Linked DNA regions of Macaca fascicularis. The protein of the gene in region 1 binds, or shares a complex with, the protein of each later gene. Links are inferred from orthologs where the notes say so. Each region holds a gene or a part of one and is shown in the gene's direction. Other genes may lie near its edges.

What was found.
Region 2: CNOT2 (region 1) and CNOT6L share a complex: the UniProt entries of both Homo sapiens proteins name them as parts of the CCR4-NOT complex. The link is inferred for Macaca fascicularis from reciprocal best matches to the Homo sapiens genes CNOT2 and CNOT6L.
Region 3: CNOT2 (region 1) and CNOT6 share a complex: the UniProt entries of both Homo sapiens proteins name them as parts of the CCR4-NOT complex. The link is inferred for Macaca fascicularis from reciprocal best matches to the Homo sapiens genes CNOT2 and CNOT6.

Annotation. Positions count from the first base shown.
Region 1 is NC_088385.1:76,972,528-76,983,060, forward strand, and holds the start of CNOT2 (CCR4-NOT transcription complex subunit 2), read left to right. Parts: upstream 1-4,241; 5' UTR 4,242-4,324; coding exon of another isoform or gene 4,325-4,446; 5' UTR 4,447-4,564; coding exon of another isoform or gene 4,565-4,776; intron 4,777-8,353; coding exon of another isoform or gene 8,354-8,409; intron 8,410-10,533. Other genes in the region: uncharacterized protein, read right to left, coding at 3,296-3,365, 3,732-4,241, 4,325-4,446, 4,565-4,776, 8,354-8,409. UniProt on the Homo sapiens protein: Component of the CCR4-NOT complex which is one of the major cellular mRNA deadenylases and is linked to various cellular processes including bulk mRNA degradation, miRNA-mediated repression, translational repression during translational initiation and general transcription regulation.
Region 2 is NC_088379.1:56,140,786-56,150,182, forward strand, and holds the end of CNOT6L (CCR4-NOT transcription complex subunit 6-like), read left to right. Parts: intron 1-231; coding exon 232-459; intron 460-2,936; coding exon 2,937-3,139; intron 3,140-4,661; coding exon 4,662-4,940; 3' UTR 4,941-5,122; downstream 5,123-9,397. UniProt on the Homo sapiens protein: Has 3'-5' poly(A) exoribonuclease activity for synthetic poly(A) RNA substrate.
Region 3 is NC_088380.1:187,398,277-187,408,550, forward strand, and holds the start of CNOT6 (CCR4-NOT transcription complex subunit 6), read left to right. Parts: upstream 1-4,751; intron 4,752-5,021; coding exon of another isoform or gene 5,022-5,100; intron 5,101-5,210; 5' UTR 5,211-5,315; intron 5,316-10,274. Other genes in the region: uncharacterized protein, read right to left, coding at 3,592-4,751, 5,022-5,100. UniProt on the Homo sapiens protein: Poly(A) nuclease with 3'-5' RNase activity.

The DNA of each region.
Region 1 (10,533 bases):
TAAATCAGACCCCTTTTAGTGTGAATTTTAGCCCTGGCCATACTGCAGTGCAGTCTACTTTTTTTTCCCCCTTGTAATAGCCTTACAGATTTCCCAGAAAAAGATAGACATCTTCTTTATTAAGTTGAAGGCTAGGAATATTCTATTGGTTTAGTACCGTTTTTCCTGTTTCCTAGATTGGATTTTACAAATTTTGTGTTAAGGATACCTTTTGACATTTACTCATTTAATATTAAAATAGTCTAGCTAATCTTGGATAAGAATTTTGTTGCTTCATTCACTGACTCACTAATTTAACAGCACTTATCTAACGCCCACCATGTGTGAAGGATAAAGTAGTGAACAAAACAGGTGTAGTTTATATTTTTGTAGGGTGAAGGGAGGTATGAAATAAACAGTGAATAAAGAAGATAATGATAAATTATAAATGCTATTAGGAAAATAGAGGGGCACGTGATTGATAGACAATAAATGGGAATGGGAGCTATTTTAGATAGGGTGGCCATGGAAGGCCTGTCAGATACATTTGGGTTAACCTGAAGGAAGAGAACGAATGAGCCATATTCAAGACAGTAAAACCACATCCCAGGCTGAAAAAATAAAAATAAAAAATAAAAAGCAAGTGCAAAGTCCCTGAGACAGAGTATCAGGTAAGATTAAATTCAGTTGAGAACAAGAGACCCCAAAATAGCGGGTGTAATAATATAGACATTTACGAGTGCAGGGCTGGCATGGTGCTCTCATCCACAAAGTCCTCAGGGACCCTGGTTTCCACCAGTTTTGCCATCCCTAGTATGAGAGAACCTGCATGAGACACAAATTGGCAGCTAGAGTTCCAAAATCACATCTCTATAGTCCATGGTACAGGATAAAGGAAAAGCCGCATTGAAGGTGTACACCAACTATCTTTTAAGGATGGTTTTACAAGTGTGCCACATGATACAATGCTTATATCCCATCAGCCAGCACCGTTACATGGCTACAAGAAAGGCTGCAAAATACAGTCTTTGTTCTGGGTAGCCATGTATCCATGTCTACTACTATGAAAAAAATGGAATTTTGGGGGACAACAGGCTCTGCTACAGACTACAAAGAGCTCAGCCCACGACAGAAAGGAGGCAGTAAGAACGAAGTGGGCAGGAGCCAGATTATGCAGTCTTGAAGGCTATGGTAAGGAATTCCGATTTCATTCTGTGTGCATAAGGAAGCTACTGGAGGGTTTTAAACAAGGGAGTGACATAACCTAATAACATTTTTAAAATGATTGCTTTGGTTGGTATATAGAGAATGGTTTGAATGGGAAAATTTTCATGAGGGTACAGATAGAAAGTGAAAGCAGCTAGTATGGATATTGCCGTGGTCCAGCAAGAGATGATGGTGGCTCCCAAGGGCTGTAGCGGTGGAGGTGATAAGCAGCTAAATTCAGAATATATTTGTCAGGCAGAATTGATGGTACTGTCTGATGAGCTGTATGAGTGTGAAGAATCACAGAAAATTCCAAGTTTTATGCTTGAGCAAATAAGTGAATGGTGGTACTATTTATGAAAATCAGGAATTCTAAAGGAGCAGGAGATTTAGGGAATGAACAAAGGGGATTCAAATGTTGTTTTAGACACATTAGAGAAGCCTGTGCTTTTTATCCCTTGCCATGGCAAAATTTTCAATACCATCCATAGTTTTCTAAAAATGGGTAGCCGTCTTCTTCTACAAGTTATACACAAACTCATTCTTCCCTTAATAGGGTATTTTTTTTCCTCAAAGTCTGTAATTTTTAAATGAAGTGTACAGAGAATTTAACATAACACATATTTTGGAAATACACAAAACATGTGCCTATTAGTATGGACTACTTTTCAGGTAAAAGAAAGACAATCTATTAAGATAGTCAAAAGAAAACCAAACTACCAAATGGGCAAACTTGATTAACATTACCAATGAAGATGAACTTTTTGATGCAACAGGATAATTCAAAAAATGTAGCATCTATTCTTATAGTAAGAATAGTAACTCTTATAGTAAGAATTCTTACTACACAAGCCTTTAACAAATGCTAGGTGATTAAATACCTAGAGTACCCTCTAAGGTAGGTATTAAAACAATTTTAACAAATTTATAATAGATTTGGCACAAATAATAGGACAATTAAAGGCTTGTTCTTCAACATGGCTTAAAGTGAATTCATCCTAAACAAATAGTGTTCAGTGAGTCAAAGTAAGTATCAGTGTATTTTCTCCTAACACTCCTAACCCACACGTTTATTATAAAAATGTTTGTTGTTCTATCTCCTCCAGTAAAATACTCAAGGTAATAAAACTCTCAAATCAGACTTACACCCTCTGGAAGTCATTCTATAGAGGTATAACCAATCTTTTAACACACCATCTTATGGTTGAAGATGTTAACATGAGAGGAGGAGAAAGCAGAAAGAGGAAGGGACTATTTGGAGAAGACGGGGAGAAAAGAAGGAAAGACACCAATGTGTTGTTCCTCCTCGAATTTTCCTGAAGTGGAAAAAAAAAAAAATGAAGTAGAATGTTTGATGAAATGAATAACCAAGTAAAACATTTTCTGTCTACACCAGTACCACTAGGAGTTGAAATAAATTCACACAATGTCTGCTATGTCAAAACACCTTACCTTCAAAAACATGACAGTTACCTTTTATTTTATAGTATGTTGTGTTTCTTGCTATTTCTTATTTTTGACCTTCAATGACAAATTTAAATTAGATTACAGTGATTCTTTTGTAAGAAAAGGTGAATTTTTAAAAGAAACAACCAAGTGAAGTAGAAATTTTATTTACTTCAAATTAATTACTCAAATAGAAAAGGACAATTTTTCACATTATGAAGCTACACAATTCCAAAACACACATGCAGAGGCTCTTAAGAACGAAATGTCTAGTAATTACAAAAAAAGTGAAGAGTTTACAGACATACAAAGAAATAAAGGGGTATTATTGCAAAGAAAAGTTTAATTTCACTTTGAACGACAACGATTTTTCTGGAAAGCAGATACTTCACTCCTTTAAGTTTCCACCCAAGCCACAATAATTTCAAATGGTCTTGCGGATGACCCAGCTGGTCACTCTTGTTTATGTGGAGACTGGGGGGAATGAGAGTCAGAAAAAGTGCTATAAACCTAATTTGGCTAGAGCAAGTTCACACGACACGACCGTGCTTTAAAAACTTGCTCTCCATTATGTACTTCCTTCCACCAGGTTGGGGGGGGAAAAAAAAAAAAAGGTGAGGATGGTGAGTAAATACACCAGTGGTTTCATCAGAGGGGAACTCACTACTCAGAAGGTGACGGTGACGTGGTGCCGGTCCCTGAAGTACGCGCACAAGCTCCGGAGGTTGCGGGAGCTAAGGGAGGAAACGGGGACACGGTTAAATTCGCCCAGGTGGCGGGAATGAGGAGGGGAGGAGTGAGGAGGCGGACGTGCGGGGGCGGGGTGTCCAACACAAACACAAACACGAACACGCTCAGCATCCCCGGGGAGGGCGGACTGAAGCCACCTCACCATTCATCGCCCCTGGACCCTGCGGTCCCCCTCGGACTTAGGGCCAGAGCCCTCTGCGAAGCAACCTGGCCCCAGGAAAACGGTAGCGGCCGCAGAAGCCCCGCTCTCTGTAACGGCCGCGGAGGAGCAGCAAGCCTCCCTGTGAGTCGATGGGAGACAAGACGGAGCAGCGGTAAGGGCGGTAGGGGAGTGAAGCGCCTCTCTCCACCTTGTTAGAAGCGCGCTGGAAGCAGCCTACCCACCCCATCGCTGCTGCTTTGCAGTCGCCGCTCCCACCTTCCGCCGCCACCCGGAGGGAAGCCGGAGCGACGGGGGTCACGGCGGCGGTCAGAGGGTAAAGGTCTTGCTCCCAGCAGCCTCCGCGGTGGATACGTCGCCATCTTGGATCCGCGGGACAAGAAAATTCATGCGGTGAGTTTTTGGCAAATTTTCGGAAGTCTGGCAGCGGGGCGCGCGGCGGGGGCGGCGGATTCGGGGCCCCCGCAAGGCGGGGGAATGCCCCGGGGCCGGTCCGGCCGCGCCCGGGGTCCGCCGGTAGCGTCCCGGCCCGCCGCTTCCCGTTGCTTTTGTCTCGGCTCCAATCGAGAGAGGGAGAGCGGAGCGGGCGGGGAGGGGGGGTGGCGGCGGTGGAGGGAGGGAGGGGGTGTGTATGGGGGTGGTGGTGGACGGGACGTAAAGCGTCGCTGTACTCGGGCCGCTGCAGCAGCAGCTCCACATCCTAGGCCCGGTCCCATCCGCGAGTGGCGGGGCTTCCCCAGACTCCACTCCCCTAGGCTCCCGCCAGCGCGGAGGAGCCGCTACCGCCGCGCTGCTTCCTGGGGGAGAAGAGAAGGCGGCTGCGGCCGTGGCTGAGGAGCTCGAGCCCGCTTTAGACGGCTCTGCCGCCTTCCCAGCAGCTGGTGCTGTCTCTGGCTCCTTACATTCTCAATACACGTATATCATCTGCCAGTTATGTGTATTTCTGTTAGTGTGTGTGTAAGTGTCAGATGGGAGACACTGGACTGGCTAACGGGTGTCAGGAGCCTGCAGGCCCTGGGATACCGAAGGCTGTGCATGGTGGAGGGAGAAGGAATGCAACTGCGATGCTGCCTCTGCCACCGCACCAGGAAGGTGAAGCTTCCGTAGTGTCGTAGACTGAGTCCGGATGGTCCTGGGGCGGCGGAGGAACCACAGATGCTTCTGTCTGTGAAGTTACAAGCCCTGGTTTTCTACTTCCGCAGGGGCCTCTCCACCTTTTGCTGTTGTAGGTCTCACTTAAAAGTTTCACAGAAGAAAAGAGTAGGGTTAAAAGAGGCCTTTGTAGTTCTTAATTGAGGCACTGTTGTCTGTCCGGGAGAAAGCTGATGACTCTTGGTGACTGTGGTCCTTAGCAAAAGTGAATTGTAGTTTTCTTTTATACAAAGTATTTCCAAGGTTTTAGACTTTATATTTATTCCAGGCCTGTAGGTACGGTATTACCACCACAAAAGTCTTACATAAGGGTACCACCCTCTCAGAAGGAACCTAAACAACTTCCTTCGAATCCTTGGAGACATCTTCACTTTTCAACATCCGGAAGACTGAGTGCAACATATTTTGTTTCATTTTCATAAAACTCTTGGTCAGAGAATCCCACTCCTTTTAAAATCGTTTGGGCAGTTCTTCGTAATTAAGTACACTGATTTGAACCCTTAGATTCTTGGCGAAATGGTAAAAAGTACTCAAAGTCAGTTCACGAGGGAAGCCAACTTAAATTTAAGGTTCCAAAGTTGAACATACTTCATGCTTGATATTAGGAATTTTTAGAGCTCGGAATCATAAGTGTGACTCTTGATTTCCCTTTTGAAGCAAGATAAGTGGAAAGAATAAAGTATGGGGTGAGGGATGAGATAGAAATTTTAAAGTATCCATTTACATACAAGGTTTATGTTGAGTTTGGGAATGCTTGGCATAATTGACAACAGTTCTTTCCAAACGTCAATGAATATGTCTCTTATAATTTTGTAAGATTGCGAATTGAAAGGGTTAAGAATCATAGTGGGCTGAAATGGTTAAGTGTCTATATTCAGAGCCCAGTTCATTGAAATGTTTTATAATGGACCAAGATAATTAGTAAGCTCTGTATGTTGAATTTGTTTAGTTTGTAGTTCTTTTATAATGTTAAATCTAAAGAAAAAGAAATACAAAATACACTTAAAGACAAAACATGTTCCACTCTACTCACTTATTTCTTGACTTTGTAAGATCCTTATTGTAGAAAAGGTATCTTTCTCTCATATTTTCTGAGAGCTTGAATTGTAATAACTTTTGTGAATACTTTGTATTTTAGAGAGGAAGTGAGAAACTCTGCTAAAGTTTTTTTTTTTGTATCTGAATTAGTACTTCATCAATACAAATAAGTTAATGTAAACATTTGTTGGCAGGAATCTTTTTTTAAGTATACAATGTAGAGATATCTGTAACCTAATCTGATCTCAGGGAATGAGAATTGCCTGTTTGTTTAACCAAGCAACACATACAGCCTATACAATTTTTCAGTTTCTATAATACTTTAATTTATATGGTGGAAAAGGAGGGCAAAATGCTTGTGTGTGAGTGATTTATATCCCCAAGTACCTGATCTTGAAGATAAAACTCAGAATGTGGCTTATCTTATGATGCTGGGCAAAAAACAAAAACAAAAAAATTCAGAATGATACAACTTCCCATATACCTCCCTACAAGGACTAATTACCTTTGTTTTTCCTTTATAACTTTGGGTGTTGCACTTTTTGATTTTTCAGAGATGCTTTACAGTTATTATAACCTGAAAATTATTTGTTCAAAAGTAAATAAAATTTTCAGGTGTATGAATAGATTTTATTAGAAGTGCTTCTAACCCAGTTCTCATTTGTATTCCTTTAGTAGATACTGGTATTAAAAGTACCTATATTTTGAAAGACCATTACAGAATTTTTTACAACCTGTATAAGTTATAGTTTTATGTTTTCTAGTGACAGACTTCATAAGATTTTCTGATAATGTAAATAGAATGTATGCTTCACATGTATATGTGAAATAATGAGTAAGCATTAATAGACTAGTGAAAAACACTTAGCTTACAATTTATTTTTTTGCTCTTTAAAAGCAATGTTAAACAATAGCTGTTTTTTTGTTGTTAAAATTTGTTAAAATTTTCCTGAGATTTTAGGAAAATATACAACCAAACATTTATGATGTTATTTGTTACCTGGGTCTGTAGGGGATTTTGTAACACAAAGAGGCAAAAGATCCAAGGTACCAGGTAGGGCAGTTTAGGGGCAGAGTTAATATGAGGTGTACTGTAATGTTTGAGTGGAATTATATACAGTGTTAATCAAGGGATCTAGTGCTATGGTAGAACTTATTCTGCTTGATGATACAGGTGACTGTTCTTCCTTACTAAGAGCGGTTTCTACCTGTGATACTTAAAGGGATTGAATTTCACTGTGACTTATACCAGATATTTTGAAAAGAGCTGTGCTAAAGTTGATGTCGTTGTAGAAAGTTTGCCTTGAGGCCGGGCGCGGTGGCTCAAGCCTGTAATCCCAGCACTTTGGGAGGCCGAGACGGGCGGATCACGAGGTCAGGAGTTCGAGACCATCCTGGCTAACACGGTGAAACCCCGTCTCTACTAAAAAAATACAAAAAACTAGCCGGGCGAGGTGGCGGGCGCCTGTAGTCCCGGCTTCTCTGGAGGCTGAGGCAGGAGAATGGCGTAAAAACCCGGGAGGCAGAGCTTGCAGTGAGCTGAGATCCGGCCACTGCACTCCAGCCTGGGCGACACAGCGAGACTCCGTCTCAAAAAAAAAAAAAAAAAAAGAAAGTTTGCCTTGAAGTGGAATGAAAGTTAGGGTTTTATTTCTTTAGTTTTTCTGTTTAACATCCTTTGATTTCTATTTTAGAATTCAACTGTTATGACTAATCATGCTGATGTGGCTTGTTCATTTATTTACTTTGTCTATACTATTAGGAATGTCCTGGAAATAGAATTCATAGTGTGTTTTCTGACAGCTCGTTCTCTGAAATACAGTTGCAAATCTGTTGGTATCCGTTGGTATATCACTTGGGGGTGTGCTGCATTGTAAAGTAATAAAACAGTTTACGATGTTTACTTTTTGTCAAGAGCTCATGATATATAATATGGAAATACAAAAAAAGTGAATTATTTAGAAAAAAATGGGAAATTTTTCGTTTTCTGGGCACTTGAGTGCTTTGTATATGCTTAGACTCAGGATCTAAGTCCACTTAGATATATAGTTAGATATTTTGGACTATTTGCCACTTAACCCTGAACATTTTCCTTTCCTTATTCTTTTTTTTTCTTCTTCTTTGAGACGGAGTTTTGCTCCTCGCCCAGGCTGGAGTGCAATGGCGCGATCTTGGCTCCCTACTACCTCCACCTCCCAGGTTCAAGTGATTCTCCTGCCTCAGCCTCCTGAGTAGCTAGGATTACAGGCATGCGCCCGGCTAATTTTGTATTTTTAGTAGAGACAGGGTTTTACCATGTTGGTCAGGCTTGCCTCAAACTCCTGACCTCAGACAACCTGCCTGCCTCAGCCTCCCAAAGTGCTGGGATTACAGGTGTGAGCCACCACGCCCATCCTATTCCTTTTATTCATGTGTATGTTATTGCATGTATGTGTGTGGGGGAGGGTGGTGGTGCATATTTTATGTATCTTTCACTTCTCTGTTGTTTGATGAACTTCTTCTATACTCCTCTTTGGTATCACTTTCTTCATAAATCTTTCCTGACTCCTCAAATCTTTCTGCTGTATTGCTTTTTAGTCTTCAAACTTCTATTATAGAATGTCACACTGTATTGTAATTTACTGTCCATCTGGACTGGGAGCACCTGAGAGGTAGGGCTTTGATTTGTTTATGTTCATGTTTCAAATGCCTCTATAGTGCATAATACTTAGTAGGTACGTATAATAGATACGTATCTATTAAACTGAACTGTTGCTAGATTGTCATTTGTCAGTACTGTTTCACAATCCACAGATCTGAAGCAACAGATTGGAAAAGTGGTGGGAAGAATGGCATCCTGTATTCCTTCACTTTCTTGAATCCTGTCTTACAGTTTTGCTTCTTAATTACATATGGAAAAATAGATAACTAGCTTCTTAGAGAACTGTGTGTTGAGTTAGTATGGAATTAGGGGAGGATGTTAGTAATAGAGTGATTAATACCCTGTTTTGCTTCTGGCAGGATGTTTAGGTCTGTATTTCTTGCTGTATTATGTGTGGTTATGGCCATTATTTGAAGGAGATATTTTGTATTTGTCTTTACAAGGTAACATGTTTACCAGTACTTACACATGAGCTCCTATTATATTTGGGGCTTCTGAAGTTAGATTCTGTTTTTCTCACCTTTTTCCTCTTAATGCCTGGCCCATTGGTTAGTAGAAAGCAGGATTTCTCTAGTTTGAATAAAATTGCCCTTATGGAAATAAGGTGAGATGTGTCTTATTGGAGGTCCAAAATTTAAAAAGCTCTGAAAGTTGATCATTTGTTTAGTTTTGTTTTGAATAAGGTGAGAAAATATCAACTGGAATTATACCTGTGAATCTGATTATCATCTTTCTTAATCTGATTTTCCCACTTTTTCATATGGAAATGTTCACGTGTTTGACTGCAGGTGTTGCCATTGGCAGATGTTATGTCATATATGATACATACAACATTTTACCTTTCTCAAATCTGAAACGGCGATTTTGAGAAACATCTGGCCTTTACAGGTTTGTTTAAGAGCTTGTGAGCCAGTTTTGTGCCCATTTTAGAGATGTCGAAATCAAAACAGGATAGATGACTCCCAGAATATCATTTTAGTAGATATGCTAATACTGATAATGATTTTAGGAATATTATGTCTTAATTGCCTGTATATGTTCCAGAGACCTTTTAGTGACTAAGAGCTGCTAAAGATACAGAGTATATATTTTTAAAAAGGGAATATGATCCAGTACTCAAGACACCAATCCTTTCTCTGCCTTTTCTGAATGGGAATGTCTTTCCTTATATGTGAGTAGATGAAAATGCACATTTAGTAAGTTTTTACTAAGTTTTAGTAAAAACTTAGTAAAAACTAATGATAAATGAGTGAGAGAAAATTGTGTGTCCTGGCAATTTAGGTAACAGTGAGTAGACTTGCTTGTTTTTCAAACATATTGATATACTATTTTTCCATTTGTGTATTCAGATGTTGTAACAGCTCCAGTTTGTATTAGCATCTGGACAAAACGTAATGACTGATTATGTAATACAATGTGTTTGAGAGAGGAACATTTGGTTTTGTGTCATATCTGGCAAGAATGTGCTTTTGTATTATTTTCTACTTTGTAAATTATGCCTATCCTGCATGTAAATTTTGTATTTAGTTTTCTGCTTGTAAGAATCTTTCATAGGTCAGTAAAATAAAATATTAGGTTTACTGTGCCATTCCAAGCACCTGACTACTTTTGGCTTTGCTACTTCATATTTTAAAAATGTTTTACAGCTTGCAGAGAGGACTTTCATTATCTTAATTTTATATATATTATTTAAAATAAGTTTAAAACTTAACATTTATGTTTATAAACAAGCTATTTTGGTCAATAAGAAAATTAGAAGTTGAGAATTATGAAGGCCATTTTCATCTTCAGACTGTACTTAGAGTCTAATTTCTTTCTCGTTTATTTTAACGCTACTTTATAGAGAAAATCGTGATTTATTAAATAAAATAGGTGTTGATGGAAGATTTATTTTTGTTTGCATCTGATCATCTTGCAGATCCTAGATATTTAATCGAATTGATACAGAAGTTTGAAAGACAAGCAGCAGTAGGAAATTTTTGTTTCAAGCTTGACTTTCTGGCAATATACAACAGCTGCTCATTTTTAAAAATTATAAACATTCATTGAGAAACATTAAAAACTTGAAAGCAAATAGTTTGTTATAATGAGAATAGGTTATAACATATCATTGATGCTACATTTTACATACTATTGCACCATTATTCTGAGGTAGTCATAT
Region 2 (9,397 bases), on another chromosome or scaffold:
CATGGACTACAGTTTGCCAACTTGATCTAGGAGAGTAACTCCCGTAGTAGGATTACCAGAATCTCAGCCCTTTAGCTTCTAAGAATTACTTTATCAGATAAAAGGGAAGTTATAAATTCATGGAAAAGAGTAAAGAAGTAGCTGTGGATCATACTGAGAAAACATGAGGATGCCACATTTCTTCAGACATAAAGCATAACTGGGTCTTCTTTTTGTAATGTTTAAATTTAGGTATGAAGCCTATTCATGCTGCAGACAAACAGCTGCTTATAGTGGCAAATGCCCACATGCATTGGGACCCAGAGTATTCTGATGTGAAGCTTATCCAGACCATGATGTTTGTCTCAGAGGTTAAAAACATTCTGGAGAAAGCCTCTAGTAGGCCTGGCAGCCCAACTGCAGATCCTAATTCCATCCCGCTGGTGCTATGTGCAGATCTTAACTCATTGCCAGATTCAGGTATTTATAACATCATTTCCTCACTGCTTTCAATTTCATTTTTACTCTTGGGTTCAGAGGCCAGCTAGCTCCTAAATTTTGAATAGATAATTTCTCTTCTAAATTAGGGAATGTATCAGTAAGAATCCCATGGATGGGACACAGGGTAATAGAAAAGAGTTTAATAAAGAAGCTATTTCCAAAGGTGTTGGCTGGTTTAAGGGAAACAAAGCAATAAATGATGCAGTACTCTGCCCCTAGGGGATATAGTAATAGATCTCTTTACCACTCCTGTACCTAAAAGGGAAAGTAGTGGGAGCTGTCTGTCATCAGAACTTGGAAAAAATACAGTTGTAGGAAAGGGCCACATAATAGGAGTGATGGCTTTGAATTGCATGAAGCAGTCAATCCCTGGCAAACCAACAAGAAGGGTACCAGGGGAATATATATTCTTACCTCACTCTGCTTCTGTCCTCTGATCTCCTGCCAGGCTGCCCATTGATCAAATCCAACCAGAAGCTAGAGGGGGGAGGGATTTGCAGTTGATGCAATAAAGATCAGCTTCCTGAGGCACAGAGTGTACTGCAGAAGGGTGATCTGAAGGGGCAGCCAGAAAATATTCATTACAGGTAGCTATCTAGTTTAATAATGTTAGCAACTTTTAAGTGAATTCATTAAGTGATATTTGGATACTGTTAGTAGGTACAGAAGAATGATTAAAATTATCGTAGGACTTTATATTACTTCTTGAGCTCCTCTAAACTACTTTATGTCTGAACTTATATCATTTTACTTTTTATAAAAATAGTTTCTGCATTTTAGGTATCAAATAGAAAACATTAAACTATTACTCTTTTGCTAATACCAAAGCATATGTTAACTTTTGTATATTATCACTACTAGGCTATTTTAAGTTATTTAAGTAAGTAACAATAAGGTTACTATAAGATAACCTAAATGCCTCCATTTGGAATATTAAAAAAGTCACTGAACGTGAAAACATCTTTTTCTTCTTAGCAAATAATGCTGAAATCATTGTTAATAAATATCTGTCTTTAACCCCTAGCCTGATTGGCACTTTAACCACATGCTCCTTTCTTAATCCTTTCTTAAGTTGAATTATTCTCAAGTGCAAGTTTTTCTCCCATTGTATTTGATTTGTTAAAGCCAGTTAGCTGGCATTTGGCAATACAACGTAGTGAAATGTCTTTGGTGCCAGACTGTCATGGTTGGATCCTGATTCTGCTACTTATGAACTATGCAATCTGTGACTAAGTTCCTCATTTTTCCTTTTATTTTTTTGTTTTGAGACAGAGTTGCGCTCTTGTTGCCTAGGTTGGAGTGCAATGGTGCAGTCTCGACTTACTGCGACCTCTGCCTCCTGGGTTCAAGCGATTCTCCTGCCTCAGCCTCCCAGTAGCTGGGATTACTGATGCATGCCACCACGCCCAGCTAATTTTTATATTTTTAGTAGAGATAGGCTTTAACCATGTTGGCCAGGCTGGTCTCGAACTCCTGACCTCAGATGATCCGCCCACCTCGGCCTCTGAAAGTGTTGGGAGTTTACAGGCGTGAGCCACCGCACCCAGCCTAGTTCTTCATTTTTAACAAGGGGGGAATCATGTTATCTACTTCATAGAATTGTTTGTGAGATTTACATGAATAAAGCACTTAGAACAGTGCCTGGCATGTAGCAAATACTAGGTAAATAATAGTGCCTTCTGAGCTATTTACAATACTGATAATTGTGCTTATCACACATTCATTATATCTTACTATCAATCCTTATTACAAATAGAAGGATGACTCTAATAATGCACTAATCATAAGGGTTTTGATACTGTTTTCATGTTTGCTAATTCAGTGGAAGCAGTGCACTTTTCTGAATGCTATTCTTCTCTTCAGCCTTGTATTTTTAGCCAAGTGGTATATTTCTGGCATATAATATTCTTTATAGTGTCAGACTGAGAAAACTCACTGTAGCTCAAAATAAAGAATGATACTGTCTAGCTGACACTAGACATTGAAATGTTAAAGATGCAAAATCTGTTTTTGTTGTAAACGTTTTTTATTAATATGTTCTACTTATATATTTGCAGAGTTGTTGCTTAGAATGGGAAAATGCTAAAGAGATAGTGGTTTGGAATAATTTTCCGAAAACATTTAGGGTTAATGCCTTCCTGGTGAATGCCATCCTAGGTCCTGGAAATTTTTGGCCTGAAGAACCACCAAGAAAACTAAGGATATCTTTGAGTGTTCCTGATATATTTTGTTCTGAAATAGGCAAACATCCTTTGATTCAATTGATTGAATCGTATGAAATGGCTGGTATTTGATTTTTTATTTTTAAATAATGACAAAAGGCAGTTTTATATGGTTCAATCTAAGAAAACCATTCTGAGCCTGGTGGATTAACCTGGTAACAAGTCTTGGCTGTGAAGCCTTGTGTAAGGTCTGAATGCTAAATGGGAGTGTCTCTTTTTTCTTTATTCTACCAGGTGTTGTGGAATACTTAAGCAATGGAGGAGTAGCTGACAACCATAAAGACTTCAAGGAACTAAGGTACAATGAGTGTCTTATGAACTTCAGCTGCAATGGAAAGAATGGAAGCTCAGAAGGGAGAATCACACATGGCTTCCAACTTAAGAGCGCCTATGAAAATAACTTGATGCCTTACACCAATTACACCTTTGATTTCAAAGTGAGTGGCAGCCTTTGGGCAGGTGTAGAAATTATTTCAGATACAAGCATGTAACAAAAAGGTGTAAATTCTTTATGATTAATTGTATAATCTTCAGGAATTTTTAGATTCTTAAAATGTCTAGGCTAAGTATGCACCTAGATATAAGTAGGTTCATTGGGTTTTGTGGCTATTGTCTTAAATTCTTCTTGCTCTCTCGTTTGTTTAGATTTTAAATAATATAATAACAAAAACTTTGAAATGCTCACTAGGTACGAGGCACTTGTCAAAGCACTTTGTATATATCAATATAGTTAACCCTCACCTGCTCAAACCATCCCTAACTTTCAGCAGTAACCTCCCTCCTGCCCCCGACAGAAAAGCACTGAATATAGCAAAACTCACTTTGAATGAATTTATGTAGTATTTTCTCAAGATTTTCTTTCTACCTTCCATTGATGTCTTAGTATCTTTAAATTTTCAGATTTCTTTTGGGAATGGGGTTAGAGAAGGTTGTACTTTGGTTCTATTTTATATCCATGTATTTGTACTAATATATTCCTAGGCAGTGGAACACTCTGAAAGAAAAAGACATTTTTTTGACAAATACACACAAAAAAATGGAAAGGCCGATTGTACAGGACCAGCTCTTCTTTAGAAAGACAGATTGTGGTGGCTTTATGTAATCTCTTTTCCAGTGCTAGTTTTCTGATCACTCTGTGTACCTGTGACTCTGCTATTGTACCTCTCTTTGACTTTCTGGCATTTCAGGCATCTATAGTAGAATCTTACACTATCTGGAAAAATCCAAGTGTTAGAAAGCAGTTTGGTATAAGAAGCCTAGCAGGAATTTAATAAAATGCCAAAGGAAATTTACAAATGGACTCCCTTACATCTCCAATAACCTTTTTCTGTTTTTGTGTGGGTTAGCTCCTTTCCAAGAAACAAATAGGAGGAGGAAGAAAAGGAATTCATGTGTTGTTACTAATCAGCTTTCATAATCATGAAGTGGAAAAAAAAGTGCTTAGAAATTGAATCTAATTTAGTATTTTTGCTATTAGAAAAGATAATTCAATCCAGCGATAGTTCATTTTGGCCCAGCCACTCATATGTAGTTATGTGCTGGTAAACATTTAATAATGAGCTTTTTGGGAAAAAGCTCTGATTTGTGGTGTTTGCCGATTTCTGTGGTTTAAGTACTTCTACTGTAGCAGAATCCAGTCTCCCAACACGATACCATTGAACACAGAGTTAGGAAGAGGTGCTAGAAAAGCTAGTACTAGCTGACTCTAGCACATCATTGCTTTTATGTAAGCTTAAAGGAACACCTTTTAATGGTACACAGTTTACCACAGCTTAAATCCTATCCTTGTAACTATAGTGATATATATCTGCCAGCGTAACCCAGAAAACCTGTGATAAAGTTCCTGAAAATAAGTGTTTAGTAATTCTGCAACTATCATTATTATTTAGGTATGTGTATAGGTAAAAAGAAAAATTTTTTTTTCTTTTTCACATAGACTTTTTTTTTTTTTTGAGATAGGGTCTCAGTTTGTCGCCCAGGCTGGAGTGCAGTGGCAGGATCTTTGCTCACTGCAGCCTCAAACTTCTGTGCTCAAGACATCCTCCTACCTCTGCCTCCCAGGTAGCTGGGACTACAGGTACACACCACCACGCCCGGCTAATTTTTTGTATTTTTAGTAGAGACAAGGTTTTGCAATGTTGCCCATGCTGGTCTCAAACTCTTGGGTTCAAGCCATCTGCCTACCTCAGCCTCCCAAAGTGCTGGGATTACAGGTATGAGCCACCGCACCCAGCCTAGACTTTTTTTGTTTTGAGACAGGATCTCGCTCTGTCACCTAGAGTGGCACAATCATGACTCACTGCAGCTTCACCCTCCTGGGCTTAGGCAATCCTCCCACCTCAGCCTCTTGAGTAGCTGGGACTACAGGTATGTGCCACCATGCCTGGCTAAGTTTTGTATTTTTGAGGGCTTTTTATTTTGGTAGAGACAGGGTTTCGCCATGTTGCCCAGGCTGGTCTTGGGGTAATTTTTGTAATTTGAGGGTTTTTTGGTTTTGGTAGAGACAGGGTTTCACCATGTTGCCCAGGCTGGTCTTGAACTCCTGGGCTCAAGCAATCTGTCCACCTCAGCTTCCCAAAGTACTGGGATTATAGGTGTGAGCCACTGTGCCCGGCCTAGACTTTTTAAAAGCTTATTTCTTCCTTGTCTGTAAATAAAAAAATCTGAGAAACACAATTTGGGACATTAATCTACCTTCCTTAGTCATCTGAATTGGTTTAAATTATTTATCGACAGTCCTTCAAAAGATCTTGTGTTAATAACTGAATAAAAAATCCTATTGAGCCATTTACGTTGTTCAAATAAGTACAGCTAAAGAACTAGAAATGTCTGGCTCAGAGAGTGTTTGATGTTTGGATGTATAAGAGAATCAGAGAGAAGGATAAAGGTGGGAGAGAGTAATATATGGGAAGATAAATAGGCTGGCTGGATAGATAGATGGGATGAGAGGATAGAATAGTATTTGAAGGAAAGATGGCTAGAGACTAAACTAAGGGCACACATGAGTAGAGAGAATTGAGCTCTTAGTCCAACAGAAAATGAACTTTTCAGTTTTATACATATATTTTGTAATGCTATCCCAATATTGAAATCTATCAGTAAAAGAAGATAGGTAACATCAAATGTAAAATACCTTGTGATCAGCATCGAATACAGATCCATTTGTATTAGTGAGGAGCCATTGTATCAGAGAGGTGTTAAATTTTGTTTCTTGGCTTAGTATTTGTTTACTTTCTTGGTCCTTGAACAAAATAGAAATGTAGAAAAGAGGTATTTAGAGCTCAGATTCATTTAATTGCAAACTGATTTGGAATGAACTGAAGAGTAAACAATTAGAAGAATTACTCCTTTTTCAACATTACTTTCAGACCAGGTAAGTTTAATAAACAGCTTAATTCAAACCTGCTGCTGATCCTCACCCCATGCTTATCCTCTAATCTGAGGGTGTGCCTGAATCATTTAATAAAAGGAAGGGCAGCTTTTATTTTATAGCAAATAGTAAACTTTTCTGTTACATTATGAAATTGGTATTGTAATTTTCTGGCATTCTTTTAAAAAACAAAGCTTAGCATAATGGTAACTCAGACTATTAATATTTTCGTTGTGTTTTGACTTTTTTCCAAATACAGTTCTATAGACTTATACAATAATAGTCCTTACTAATATAAAGAGTGCATTTTCCCACATTATTAGTATTATATCTTTTAAAAAAGAAACTGACTCAAAAGGGTTAAAAATCATTAGTCTGTAACCTCCTTTGTGCCTATGATCAAAGTTAGGGATCCTTCTCATAGGTGTATATGTACAAATACGTTGGGTGAATTCAGACATAACCTGGCTAAGGGTTTTGGTAAGAGTTTTTACTCCGGATATTTCAAACCAAGAGAATGATTACAAGTGATGCGTTCAATTAAAAACATCTTACTTCCTGGAGTGTTTAACATTTTTTTCTTGGGGCCTACCTTTGCAAAGAATTCTAGCAGTTGATGTGCATGATGGCACTCTAATAAGGTTGTAAGATATAGGAGGCTTTGTTGCCCAGGCTGGAGTGCAGTGGTGTATTCTCAGTTAACTGCAACCTCTGCCTCCCAGGTTCAAGCAATTCTTTTGCCTTGACCTCCCTAGGAGCTGGGACGACAGGTGCATGCCCCCAGACCCAGCTATTTTTTTTGTATTTTTAGTAGAGATGGGGTTTTACCATGTTGGGCAGGCTGGTAATGAACTCCTGGCCTCAAGTGAGCTGCCCGCCTCGGCCTCTGAAAGTGCTGGGATTACAGGAATCAGGCATGAGCCACTGTGCCTGGCCTTATAGGTTTTATTCCACATAAGTAATTGAGATTATTTCATGTGTTTTATTTTAGAATTGAAGCAAAAAGTTGTCTCATAAGGAGAAATAAAATTACCCTGATCCTTGTTAACTCATTTTCTGAAATATCACTGTAAAACTGTAAAACTAGGCATATAACCAAAATGAAGGGATAATACCTTATGATCCTATCATTTTTTGACCATTTAAACTTGGAGTCCCCTGGACTCATGTAAGTTCCTTAATTTGTGGTAAAGTAGGGTTGGATAAGGGCTTCTTTTCTTTTATTATTATTATTTTTTAAGAGACAGAGTCTTGTTGTCAGCCAGGTTGGAAAGCAGTGGGACAATTATAAGTAGCCTCAAACTCCTGGACTCAAGTGAGCCTCCTGCCTCAGCCTCCCAAGTAGCTGGGACTATAGGTGCATGCCGCCACACCTGGCTAATGTTTGAATTTTTCGTAAAAACCCAGGTCTCATTATGTTTAACCAGGCTGGTCTTGAAGTCCTGGGCTTAAGCCATCCTCTTGCCCCCGCCTCCCAAAGGGTTGGATTATAGGCATGAGACACTGCACCTGAATCTTCTCTCTTAGGAGAGGAGCAGTTTTGGTGTTTTGATATTGGTCAAATGAAAATCAACAAACTGAAATGATTGTGTCCAAAATCTCACAATATAAAAATTTGTTTTCATTAAAAGTTTTTGTGTTTTAAGTAGCCCGTTTCATTATAATACTTTTTAAAGTATTGGCTGGAACTCGTGTATAGTATTTGTAAATAGGTTTTTACAGGTGTAGAAATATTTCTCCCTCCTTGGGCTCAGGCTGTCCTGATACGAATAGGAACTAGATAGGAAGAAATTTGATTTTGCTCTCTTGCATACACAACCTGGGATAATAAAAGCCCCCTGGTTTTGAGACTTACTGATCAGACTAATCAAGTCATTTAGCTCTGAGAGATAAAACTGCTATGTATGGCTTCCTGCTGAATGATTTTTGCTGAGTTATCCTTATGCAGGAAGGAAATCCAGAATTTACACATATTCTAGTATTTGTGAAAATGAGTATTTTAAATTAAGAATAGGACAGTTAACTGTGTAGTGTTTTGTATGTATGTAGCAAATCTGGGAAAGCTAAACTAGGATTAGCAAATTCATAAACATGGTTTACTACAGCTTCAGCCAGGTGTGTTTGGATATCTCGATATGCAAATAATTGAAAATAATACCATTAACTATGTATGCGCTTATATAAATATTCTTATTTTCTACTTATTATAGCCAATAGGATTAGTACAGGTTCCATTATATTTATACTGATATGTTAGATTTCACTAAACCAAGCAGGCCAATTCTAAAGATAACTGGACATAATTTAATGTGTTTAGCTTCTCAAATTATCACTTACACACAAATGCAAGGATTTATAATTCCAGTAGCATGCTGTGTTTCCCTATTGAGCCACCTTTATTTCATGTAATACCCATTGAAGATTTGAGTCTTACTTGACCCACTATCAAGACAACAGGTACCAAAAGAAAAGATACTCAGTTTTTTGTTTTTTATAAGTTATGGATTGTTCTTTATATATCCTGAATTTTTCTTTTCTTCCTATCCCCAATCTCTTTCCAGGGCGTGATTGACTACATTTTCTATTCCAAGACTCATATGAACGTGCTTGGTGTCCTGGGGCCTTTAGATCCTCAATGGCTGGTTGAGAACAACATCACTGGGTGTCCACACCCTCACATCCCTTCAGACCACTTCTCACTGTTAACACAACTTGAACTCCACCCTCCACTCCTGCCTCTTGTCAATGGTGTTCACTTGCCTAATCGGAGGTAGTGGAGTACTGCCCCGCCAAGACGGGGATCTGTTGCTATGGACCTGTACAGTTGTAAATCAAAGTATGTAGGAGTGAAGTATGGCCATCCTTAAGCTGCTTCTTCAGGTTTCTTTCATTATGTGTTTGCTGTAAGACTTTGTACATTTTTGTGCATATTGGTATCATTTGGCAGTAGGGCTGGAACCAAAGTATTACTCTCTTTCCAAAATTTTAATTTAACATGTTTTTAAATTGGACCTCCTTCTTTATATTGTATTAAGAGCCAGCATTCAAAATTGATAAATTACCAATTTGAGGCCCAACAACAGTGTATTTGTTTTTCCAAAACAAATACTTTCTTTTGAGTGGTTTCAGTGAGCCAACCATTTTATAAAAGGCAATTTTTAAAAACTATAAATACAGTATTTTAAACTGAATGATGATATGCCTTCCAGGAAAAACCTTGAATTTTTCCTTTATAACTGATTTTTGGATTCCCAAGTCATTTGCACATTAACAGAGTACTTAAATTTGCTCGTTCTGTACATAAACTATGAGATAGCCTCTACAC
Region 3 (10,274 bases), on another chromosome or scaffold:
TATAAAAGAAGTGCTCAAGCAGATCCTGAATTCCAGTCGAACAGCCGATGCCAACCAGTCTGAAGACCCCCCTAACCCTCATCCAAAGGAACCAAATCAGCATGAGAACACAGCTTCATCCTGCTCTCCTTGACAAACCAACAAGCTCCACTCTGTAGCCCACTCCAAAACCCTTGAAATTCCTAGCCCCAGACTCATCAGGGAGGCAGATGTGGTTTCTCCCTGTCTCCACATCCCGTGGGCCTAGCATTAAAACTGTTCCTGTGCTGCAGCCTGGGGTCTTGGCGCGCTGACTTGCTGTGTACGTCAGATGAGGACCCTATTCTGGTGACGCATCCATCTGTGCAACGCATTTACTGGTCAAATTAGAATTATTTTGGTTGTAAGCTACAGAAGCCAAACTCAAACTAACTTAAGCAAAAAAAAAAAAAAGTATTGTATACCTGAAATAGGTTCTGGTATAGGTCACAGGCTAAAGGAAAAAACCACTGAAATCAAACTGTCAGGCCCTTGCTGAGACTCCACATCTTCATCACTGTCTCATCTCTCCACATGGTGGGAAGATGGTGCTGGTTGCCACCAATTCATGCTGTCCTAGCTTCACATAACAATCCCAGATTGGTCCTGCTTTGGTACTGCCTGGCTGCAGCAGAAACAGGGCCCAGGCCAGGCCAGTGAGAGCCCGCCCTGGGTCTTTGGCCATTAGGAAAGAAGCACCTTCTCTAAGTGGAGAAGCTGGTAGAATCTAAGCCTGCAGGTGTTGGTGGCATCTTTCCCACCTGTGTGAGGCCAGCAGAGAGGAGAGTAGGGTGGAAGGTAGGAGGTGAGATTGATTCTTGATGCCACCTTACAATGCTTGAATGGGTCCGCATTCCCTCTTTCAATTCAATTCCCTCTTTCTTGCAAAGAAATACTGAGTTGTGAGTTTTATAACTTGCAACGGGAGGTCTGGCCTAACGTGAGCGGCACTTTGATCTGGATCTGAAAGGTGAGTAGGTGTTTTCCGGGGGTTCTCTTTAGATATGCAGAAAGAACAGGGCACGCACAGCAGAGCCACTATTGTACCCTCCTGGCGGTAGCAAGTCTCCCCAGAGGGCTCCAATAAGTCCACCCCACCCTGTATGTGTGCGCAGCTCCTCTACAGCTTATGTCCTCTCCTCTTGAATCTGGCTTGGGCTTGTGCCTGCTTTAATTAATAGAATATTGAGGAAGTGGCCTTCTTCAGAAGGCCTGGCGGCTTTGCTTTCCTCTTGGAGCCCCTGGTTGCCATGTAAGAAGTGCAGGATCACCTCCGGCTGGAGAGAGGGGCCACACACAAAGGCTGAAGGATGAGACACTGCAGAGGGAGGCCTCGTTAGGGGGCACCAAGGTGCCAGATATTCAACACCCAGCTGCCACCTTTGGCAGAGGCATGCGGCCCCAAGGGCGAGCATCAGAATCACGAGATACAGTAAAACTGTTGCTTTATGCTACCAAGATTTTGTGCAACGAGACCTCCCCACCTCCGTACGATCCTGCCAGTCACGAGGGGATTGCTACCTCTGGGTTTTGTTTGTTTTTTGAGACAGTCTCGCTCTGCCGCCCAGGCTGGAGTGCCATGGCGCAACCTTAGCTCACTGCAACCTCTGCCTCCTGGATTCAAGCAATTCTCACGCCTCAGCCTCCCAAGTAGCTGGGATTACAGGCGCCCGCCACCATACCCAGCTGATTTTTTTTGGGTATTTTTAGTAGAGATGGGGTTTTGCCACGTTGGCCAGGCTGGTCTCGAACTCCTGGCTTCAAGTGATCTGCCTGCCTCAGCCTCCCAAAGTGCTGGGATTACAGGCGCGAGTCCTTGCACCGGGCTGAGAGTAGCTGCCTCTGGCCATACAAATTACAAAAAGGCACCCAGGCTAGAGCACAGATGGCCAGGGCACTCACACAGGGAGGAGAGGCCTTGCAGGGTGTCTGTGCCACTGGCCTCTCAGCCTGGGATGCTCTGTACAACACAGGCTGCACGACTCCCTGCCTGGGGCGGAAGGAGGTTGTGCAGGGATGGCCACAGGCAGCCTGCTGGTCGGTCTGCATGTGTTCTTCCTGACTCCTGGGCTTTTGCACTGCCATCGTTGCCCAGTGTCCTATGGCCCTAGAGGCCTGGGCTGTCACTACTGATGCCATGGCAGTGCTAAGCAATGACCATCCCAAGGCCATGCTGGGGAGAGGGAGATCATCTTGATCTCTGAACAGCTTTTCCCTCATCCTTTCCTTGCCCTTCCAGCCAGGTCTCCTCCACCCCAGGCAACAGCAACCCATTTCCCACATCCCCAGCTCTCAACAGCCTTCAGTGACGCAGAAGCCTTGGTTTGCTGCTACGGTTGGTTCCTGGAACCTGTCTCACTCCCATTTCTTCAGGGTTGATTTTCCAGGAAGCAGTTAGCAGCCCATCCTACTTTGCCACATAGGTGGGCAGGCAGCTATTCCTTTTCCTTGACGCCATACCCTTCAGCATATACTTCGAATTTTTTTTTTTTGAGATAAGAGTTTCGCTCTTGTTGCCCAGGCCTGAGTGCCATGGTGTGATCTCGGCTCACCACAACCTTTGCCTCCCAGGTTCAAGCGACTCTCCTGCCTCAGCCTCCCCAGTAGCTGGGATTACAGGTGCCCGCCACCACACCTGGCTAATTTTTTGTATTTTCAGTAGGGAGGGGGTTTTGCCATGTTGGTCAGACTGTTTTCAAACTCCCGACCTCAGCTGATCTGCCCCCCTCGGCCTGTGCTGGGATTACAGGAGTGAACCACCGCGCCAGACCAATATACCTCCAGTAATTAAGTCTGTTGAGTGTTCTTCTTGCCCCTAGACTGTGAGCTTACTCAGGGCTGGGTGGGGTCTGATTCATCTCTGTGCCCTGACCATCAGTCAACTAATATTTCCTGATGTAAGCATCATGAATCAGCCCAATCATTTCTCTGCTCACCTTCAACCACCAGAGTCTGCCCCGAACACCTTTCGATCTTGGCGCACAGCAGCTGTTGTCCGTTACTCAGGCTAGGAGCCCAGCACCACACTGTCCATTAATGTACTGGAATGAATTACCATTCATGGACTGAAACGGTATGTTAACTTACTCTTTTTCTGCGTCATTGAGGAAGGAATAACATTCGCCTGCTCACGACTGATTGTCTTGTCTTTAGGCAGATCAAGATACTGGCTCCGGGCAAATACCTGTGTTTCGACGTGAATGACAGGCGAAGGCTTAAGGAAAAGGAAAAGGAGAAAAAAAGGGGAGGAGGATCAAGGAAGAGGGAAGAGAAGAGATAAAAGCGGACAACCCGGCCGGGCGCGGTGGCTCACGCCTGTAATCCCTGCATCTGGGAGGCCGAGGCGGGCGGATCACGAGGTCAGGAGATCGAGACCATCCTGGCTAACACGGTGAAACCCCGTCTCTACTAAAAATACAAAAAAAAATTAGCCGGGCGAGGTGGCAGCGCCTGTAGTCCCAGCTACTCGGGAGGCTGAGGCAGGAGAATGGCGTGAACCCGGGAGGCGGAGCTTGCAGTGAGCCGAGATCGCGCCCCTGCACTGCAGCCTGGGCAACAGAGCGAGACTCCGTCTCAAAAAAAAAAAAAAAAAAAAAAAAAAAAAAAAGGGGACCACCCGAGGCAGAAAAAGAAGTAGATGAAAAATGGAGGAGCGCTACAGAGAGGAGAAAACAGAAGTGCCAAGGCAGGAACGGAGCGGGGAGAGCGGGAACAGAAGGAGACCAAGGATGGACGGAAAGAGGACGGGGGAGGCCGGGAGCAGGGCCCGCAGCGCGCCGGGCCGGACCACCGTTCCTCAGCGCGGGGGTGAGGGGCGGGGCCTAGGCCGAGGCGGGCCGCAGCGACCCCCGCGCCGAAGGCCGGATGGTTGCGCCCAGCGACGGCGGCCAATGAGCGGCCGGGATGTTGGCGTGCCGGCGGCGGTCCGGGCGCTCGCTGGCTGAGGGACGGCGCCCGCCGCCATGATGCTTGTTTGCTTTCAATGAAAACGAGGGGGGCGCGGAGGAGGAGGCGTCGGCGTCGGTGTCGGCGGCGTCGGCGGCGCGGAGGCGAAGGCAGCGGCGGGCGCAGCGAGGCGGGCGAGGCCGGGGGCCGAGAGGGCGGGAGGGCGTAGTGGCGGCCCGCCGGGGCGGCTGAGGCGGGCGGCTGAAGCGGCGGCTCTCGGAGGGGGAACAAAGAGCAGCGACTGAGGCGGAGAGGAGCGGCGGCGGCGGCGGCGCTGCAGCAGCGGGCGGGACTGGTATGGTGGTTCCACAGGTCAGACCCCGCTGCGCTCACAGGGAGGAGGCGGCGGCAGCGGCGGAGGAAGGCGGCGCACCCCGAGAGGTGAGCGAGGCAGGCCCGAGGCCCGGCCGGGGCGCCGCTTCTCTCTGCGGCCGCGCACGGACCGCCCCGTCGGCCGGCCTCGGTCGCGGCAACTTGAGTTTCGTGGGCGGCGGGCTCGCCGCTCCCCGGCTGGCGGCTGTGGGGGGCCCTCGACGCGCCGCGATCCCGCCCCGCCCCGGGCCGCGCCCCCGAGCCGAGTCCCTGCCGGGGGGCGTTGATTGACGGCGGCGGGCGGAGGGGAGGGGAGGGGCCGGCGCCGGGCTCTGGGGTCCCGGCCGGTCCCGGCTGCCGTCGCCGGAGGAGCGAGTCCGTGGTCCCGGGACTCGGGGCCAAGACGGTGGCAACTTCGGAGGAGCGGCTCGGTGGGTGGTTCGCGTGTGGAACTTCGCACTCCGCGGCCGCAGTTACTGTCGAGCGGGAAACCCGCTGCTTACCCCCCCTAAAATGTTCTTAAAATGCAGTTTAACGCAGATTTTTGGGGGAGAGGACGGGGTGGATTACAGGTTAAAGAAGCACTTAGCATGCAGTGAAGAGATTTGTTTTATAGTATTGCTAAGGACTCGGAGATCGCGCTGGTTTCTAGAAGCAGTTTTCTCTGGGAACCCAAATTGCACCCCTCCTTTTTGTTTTTCAACACTAATCGTTATTTTCTTTGGAAACTTCCTTTGACTCTTTACCTCCTTCGCCTTCCGCGAGGAGCCTGCTAACCAACACCTGTAGCCTTCTGTTTTTAACTGTTACTGCCATTGACAACATCGTGAATGGTCATCTCGCTTGACCTTCTTGGATTTGTTGTTACTGTGTTAAGCTGATGTGTTTTAGATAATCTGCTTGAATTTGAGTTCCCATACTTACCTGTTTTCCAGGTGGATTGTCTCATTGTTAGTGCTGAATCTTCTTGCCTACTTGTATCTGGGAATTTAACTTTGAAGAGGAAGAGAGTGAATGTGAATAACTGAAAAAATAAAATAGTGTGTAGTAGCACTTTGTATTTTTTTACAATATACTAGACTTTCCCACTCCAGAACAGATTTGTAGGCTGTAGGAGTAGATGTGGGCCATTGATCAAAAGGGTGGCTTTTTTGGATAATTGCTGTTAAGACATTTATCACAGTCTTTAATTTATTTATTGTTTTTGAGACAGGATCTCACTCTGTCACCCAGGCTGGAGTGCAATGGCACAGTTCTTGGCTCACTGCAGCCTTTGCCTCCTGGGTTCAAGCGATCCTTCTGCCTCACCCTCCTGACTAGCTGGGACTACCGGCAGACACCACCACGGCTGATTTCTAAAGTTTTTGTAGAGTCTTGATTTGTTGCCCAGGCAGGTCTCCAACTCCAGAACTCAAGCGATCTTCCTTCCTTGGCCTCCCAAAGTGCTGCAATTACAGGCATGAGCCAACATGCCTGGCCATCACAGTCTTTAGAATGTTGTGACTTTTAGAGTAAAATTAGAATAAAAATGGCTTAATATCTTTAGATCTGTGATCTACTCCAGGTGTTTTGTTTTAAACAAAATATTTGAACAGCTGCTAATGAGAAAACAGACCTAGAAAGGTGGAGGTGACTTGCCCATGATACTGTAATTACGAGGGGAAGCACTGGGTTTGTGTGCATGTGAGAGCACACGAGTGTGTGACCTCATTGCTAGAGGTTTGTTCTTTTGGGAGGGTAGAGGGTATTTTAATGGTTAGAAGTTATTTCAGGTCACTTCTCAGTAGGTGAACGAGATGCTTAATGAAATGGTCAAAAAAGATTATGTAATTGCCAAGCATGATGGCTCACCATGTAATCCCAGCACTTTGGGAGGCTGAGGAAGGAGGATGGCTTGAGCCCAGGTGTTTGAGACCAGCAAGACCCTGTCTCAGAAAAATATGAAGTATTTAAAGCCTGTGATAACTGTCACAACGTAGTGAGACCCTGTCTTGATCAGTTTTTAAAAATGGTGACAAAAGACATAGATATTCTTGTGAGACTGACGATTTTCTCTGAAAGCCAATCATTAATTTCCATAGTGTCTTGATAGTGGTGATGCAGCCTAGGCAGCTCCTTTTGAATATGCCTGTTCAATTTGTAGGTATTTTCAGGTTTCTTAAATGTTGTTGGCAAAGTAAAACTACAATTATTGGGAAATTTCAAACTGTTTTCTTTTGAGCAGACATAAGGTTGGTTTATAGAATTTGGTCCTAACTACAAATGTGTAAAGGCATTGTAGGAATTTGCCCACTGTACCTGTAGTTTAAAAGTATGCATTTTATGCCAGGTGCGGTGACTCACACCTGTAATCCCAGCACTTTCGGAGGCCGAGATGGGTGTATCACCTGAGGTCAGGAGTTCGAGACCAGCCTGGCCAATACGGTGAAACCCTGTCTCTACTAAAAATACAAAATTAGCCAGGTGTGGTGGCGCATGCCTGTAATCCCAGCTATTCAGTAGGCTGAGGCAGGAGAATTGCTTGAACCCGGGAGGCAGAGATTGCCACTGCACTCCACCCTGGGTGACAAGAGTGAAACTCAGTCTCAAAAAAAAAAAAAAAATGCATTTTGGTTAATGCTTAGACATTCCAGTACCCATATTTGCCTTCTTATATTCTTTAAAGCATAAACCTTTTTCGTGGTGCAACAGAAAAGGATAATATATGTAAGACATACTGAAATAAATGTTAAGGCAGCTCACAGCTATATTCGTTGGGCCATTAGGGGTGAGGGATCAATATGTTCAGCACATTTAGAACCCATTCCCATATGTAAGTAAGGTCCACTGGTTTGGGAAGCTCTGCTTTAAAGCATTTATCACTTTGGAAAAGTCCTAATAGGCTCAGCTAAAAATGTATGTTTTACTGGGAAAACCAGAGTTGGATTTGTAGATATCTTTATACCCATTACTCAAGGTAGTCATTTTACAACAAAGTGTGATTAATAAAACACTATGTATCTGAAATTAAGAATGGCTGAGGCTGGGTGTGGTGGCTCATGCCTTTAATCCCAGCACTTTGGGGAGGCCAAGACAGGCGGATCACCTGAGGTTAGGAGTTCAAGACTAGCCTGACCAACATGGAGAAACCCTATCTCTACTAAAAATACAAAATTAGCTGGGCGTGGTGGCACATGCCTGTGATCCCAGCTACTCGGGAGGCTGAGGCAGGAGAATTGCTTGAACATGAGAGGCAGAGCCGAGAGCACACCATTGCACTCCAACCTGGGCAAAAAGAGTGAAACTCCGTCTCAAAAAAAAAAAAAAAATTGTGAATAAACTGTAAACATATACTGTATGCATAGCTGGGGTGCATTAGAGTATAATGGAATGTACTGTATTTTGGTACTTGAATAAGTAGCGAGGTTGGGGGTTATTTGATCCAAGATGGGGACTCATTTAGGCTGTCTTCACTTTACCCTTCTCTGGTCTTTATCTCTCCTTCGTCCATTTATATTTTCTTGGTAACTTAAGTTACACGTTAAGGTATGTACTGGTCACAGTGTTTGTTGTTGTTGTTGTTGTTGTTGAGACGGAGTCTCGCTCTGTCGCCCAGGCTGGAGTGCAGTGGCGCCACCTCCACTCACTGCAAACTCCGCCTCCCAGGTTCAAGCCATTCTCCTGCCTCAGCCTCCCGTATAGCTGGGACTACAGGCGCCCGCCACCGCAACCGGCTAATTTTTCTATTTGTTTAGTAGAGACGGGGTTTCACCGTGTTAGCCAGGATGGTCTCGATCTCCTGACCTTGTGATCCGCCCGTCTCGGCCTCCCAAAGTGCTGGGATTACAGGCGTGAGCCACCGCGCCCAGCCAGTCACAGTGTTTTAACACTGAGAATTCAAAGACAAATAATACTCTGATTTTGCCCTCTCATAGCGTATAGGCTTAATAGGTGCACAGAGTGCTGTGGGAGAACGCAATAGAGAATGATTAAACTTGCGGAGGGTGTGGGGGCAGTTTACGAAAAATAACACTGAATAGGATTTGCCAAACTGGGGAGAGGGAGTCGTGTTAAACAGAAGAAACTGTGGGTACACTGAGGTGTCAAGTGTTAGGGTAAGACTAGTGATAAGGTGTTATTGGAACAGTGGGCATGACTCGAGATGAGCCTGCAAAGGTGTGTCTGGTCTAGATTTTGAAGGACCATGCTTGCTAAGCTAAAAGTGAAGTTTCTACCTGTATCTTACAGCAGAAGAGAGAGCCAAAATATTTTTAGCAGGGGAGCAAGGTGATTTAGAGATCACTTTGGCATCCCTGTGGAGAATAGAGTGGAAGCCGTACAAGTATATATTTGAGGTATTATGGAGTTAGTGACTTTGGATCTATTTTTTCTTTTGGTTTTTCTTTCTTTTTTTTTTTTTTGAGATGAAGGCTCTCTCTGTCACCCAGGCTGGAGTGCAGTGGCATGATCTCGGCCCACTGCAACCTCCGCCTCCTGGGTTCAAGCCATTCTCTTGCCTCAGCCTCCCGAGTAGGTGGGATTACAGGCTCCTGCCACCATGCTGACTAATTTTTTTGTATTTTTAGTAAAGACAGGGTTTCACCATGTTGGCCAGGCTGGTTTCAAACTCCTGACCTCAAGTGATCTGCCCGCCTTGGCCTCCCAAAGTGCTAGGATTACAGGCGTGAGCCACCGTGCTCGGCTTGGATCTATTTTTAACTTGGATATGGTGTCTCCTGAGTCTGTGGTCCCTTAAGGGACTTTAGGGCTATGCCCAGTTGCTGTATAATACAGGGTCATTTAAAATCAAAATGTCAGTATGTTTTGGAAGAAGTTAAAAACAGTCAAAGCAATGAAAATCATAAAATAGTACTCATGAAAGTTCAGGTGTTGAGAACACTTGTCTTCTGAGTTAGGCTTAGGCAGGCTATAAACCTTAAGCTGGAAGATTCAACCCTATGCCCAGTTGAAATCAAAGCCACCAAGCTTAAAAAGTTATCAGTATCCTGATGGTTTGCTAGGATATGCATTGTAAACATTTTGTGAAATTTTGGGATGACAGTTTCCTCTTTAGTAAATTATTGGAATAGTGAGACTAACTTAAGGTCTAAGAAGTTCTCATACAACTGTTAATTTATACAGTCAGTTTGCTGTAAAGCAACATACAGGTTCCTAAAAAATCACTCCTTTGCATAATTGTACAGTAGAAATGACTGACAAATGGGGTTGTCAGTGACACATTTAAAAAAGGAAGCTTTATCAGTGACACATTTAAAAAAGGAACCTGGTAAAAATGATAGAACAGTTTTACACGTGTTGAATGGTTAAGAAATATATAGATACTGTAATAAATGTGGCATTTTGCCTTGAAAAGGCCTGGTTTGCTTGTGGAAAGGGATGTCAGAAAGGTTGCTGCTTGTGAGTTACTGTGAAGTGGTAGAAGAATTACCTATAATCAGATGGAAGGTTGTAACACCAGAAGCGAATAGGTGTGGCCCTTAACACGTAGTGAACTGACTTAGCTGGTAGGTGTTTGAAGTGTGTTTCAGGTATTTCTACACAGTTCAGTTCGACTGGGTGCAAACTGTCTCCTTTCATCTAGTGTTTACGTGACAAAATAGCACATAAATAAACAGGAGGTACGGCTTGTGCTCAAATTGTTCTCTAATTTGTGTTATCAGTTACACTGGAACAAGTTCACCTTTTCCTTTCTTTTTTTTCCCTTTTTCTTTCTTTTCCTTTTCCTTTTCTTTATTGACAGGGTCTCACTCTGTCACCCAAGCTGGAGTGATGATGACTTGCTGCAGCTTTGACCTCCCAGGTTCATGCGAGCCTCCTGAGTACCTGGTATCACAGGTGTGTGCCACCATACCTGGCTGATTTTTCTTATTTTTAGTAGAGATGAGGTCTCTCTACGTTGCCCAGTTTGGTCTCACACTCTTGGGCTCAAGCAGTCCTCCCGCCTTGGCCTCCCAAAGTGCTAGGATTATAGGTGTGAGCTCCTGTACCTGGCCAAATTC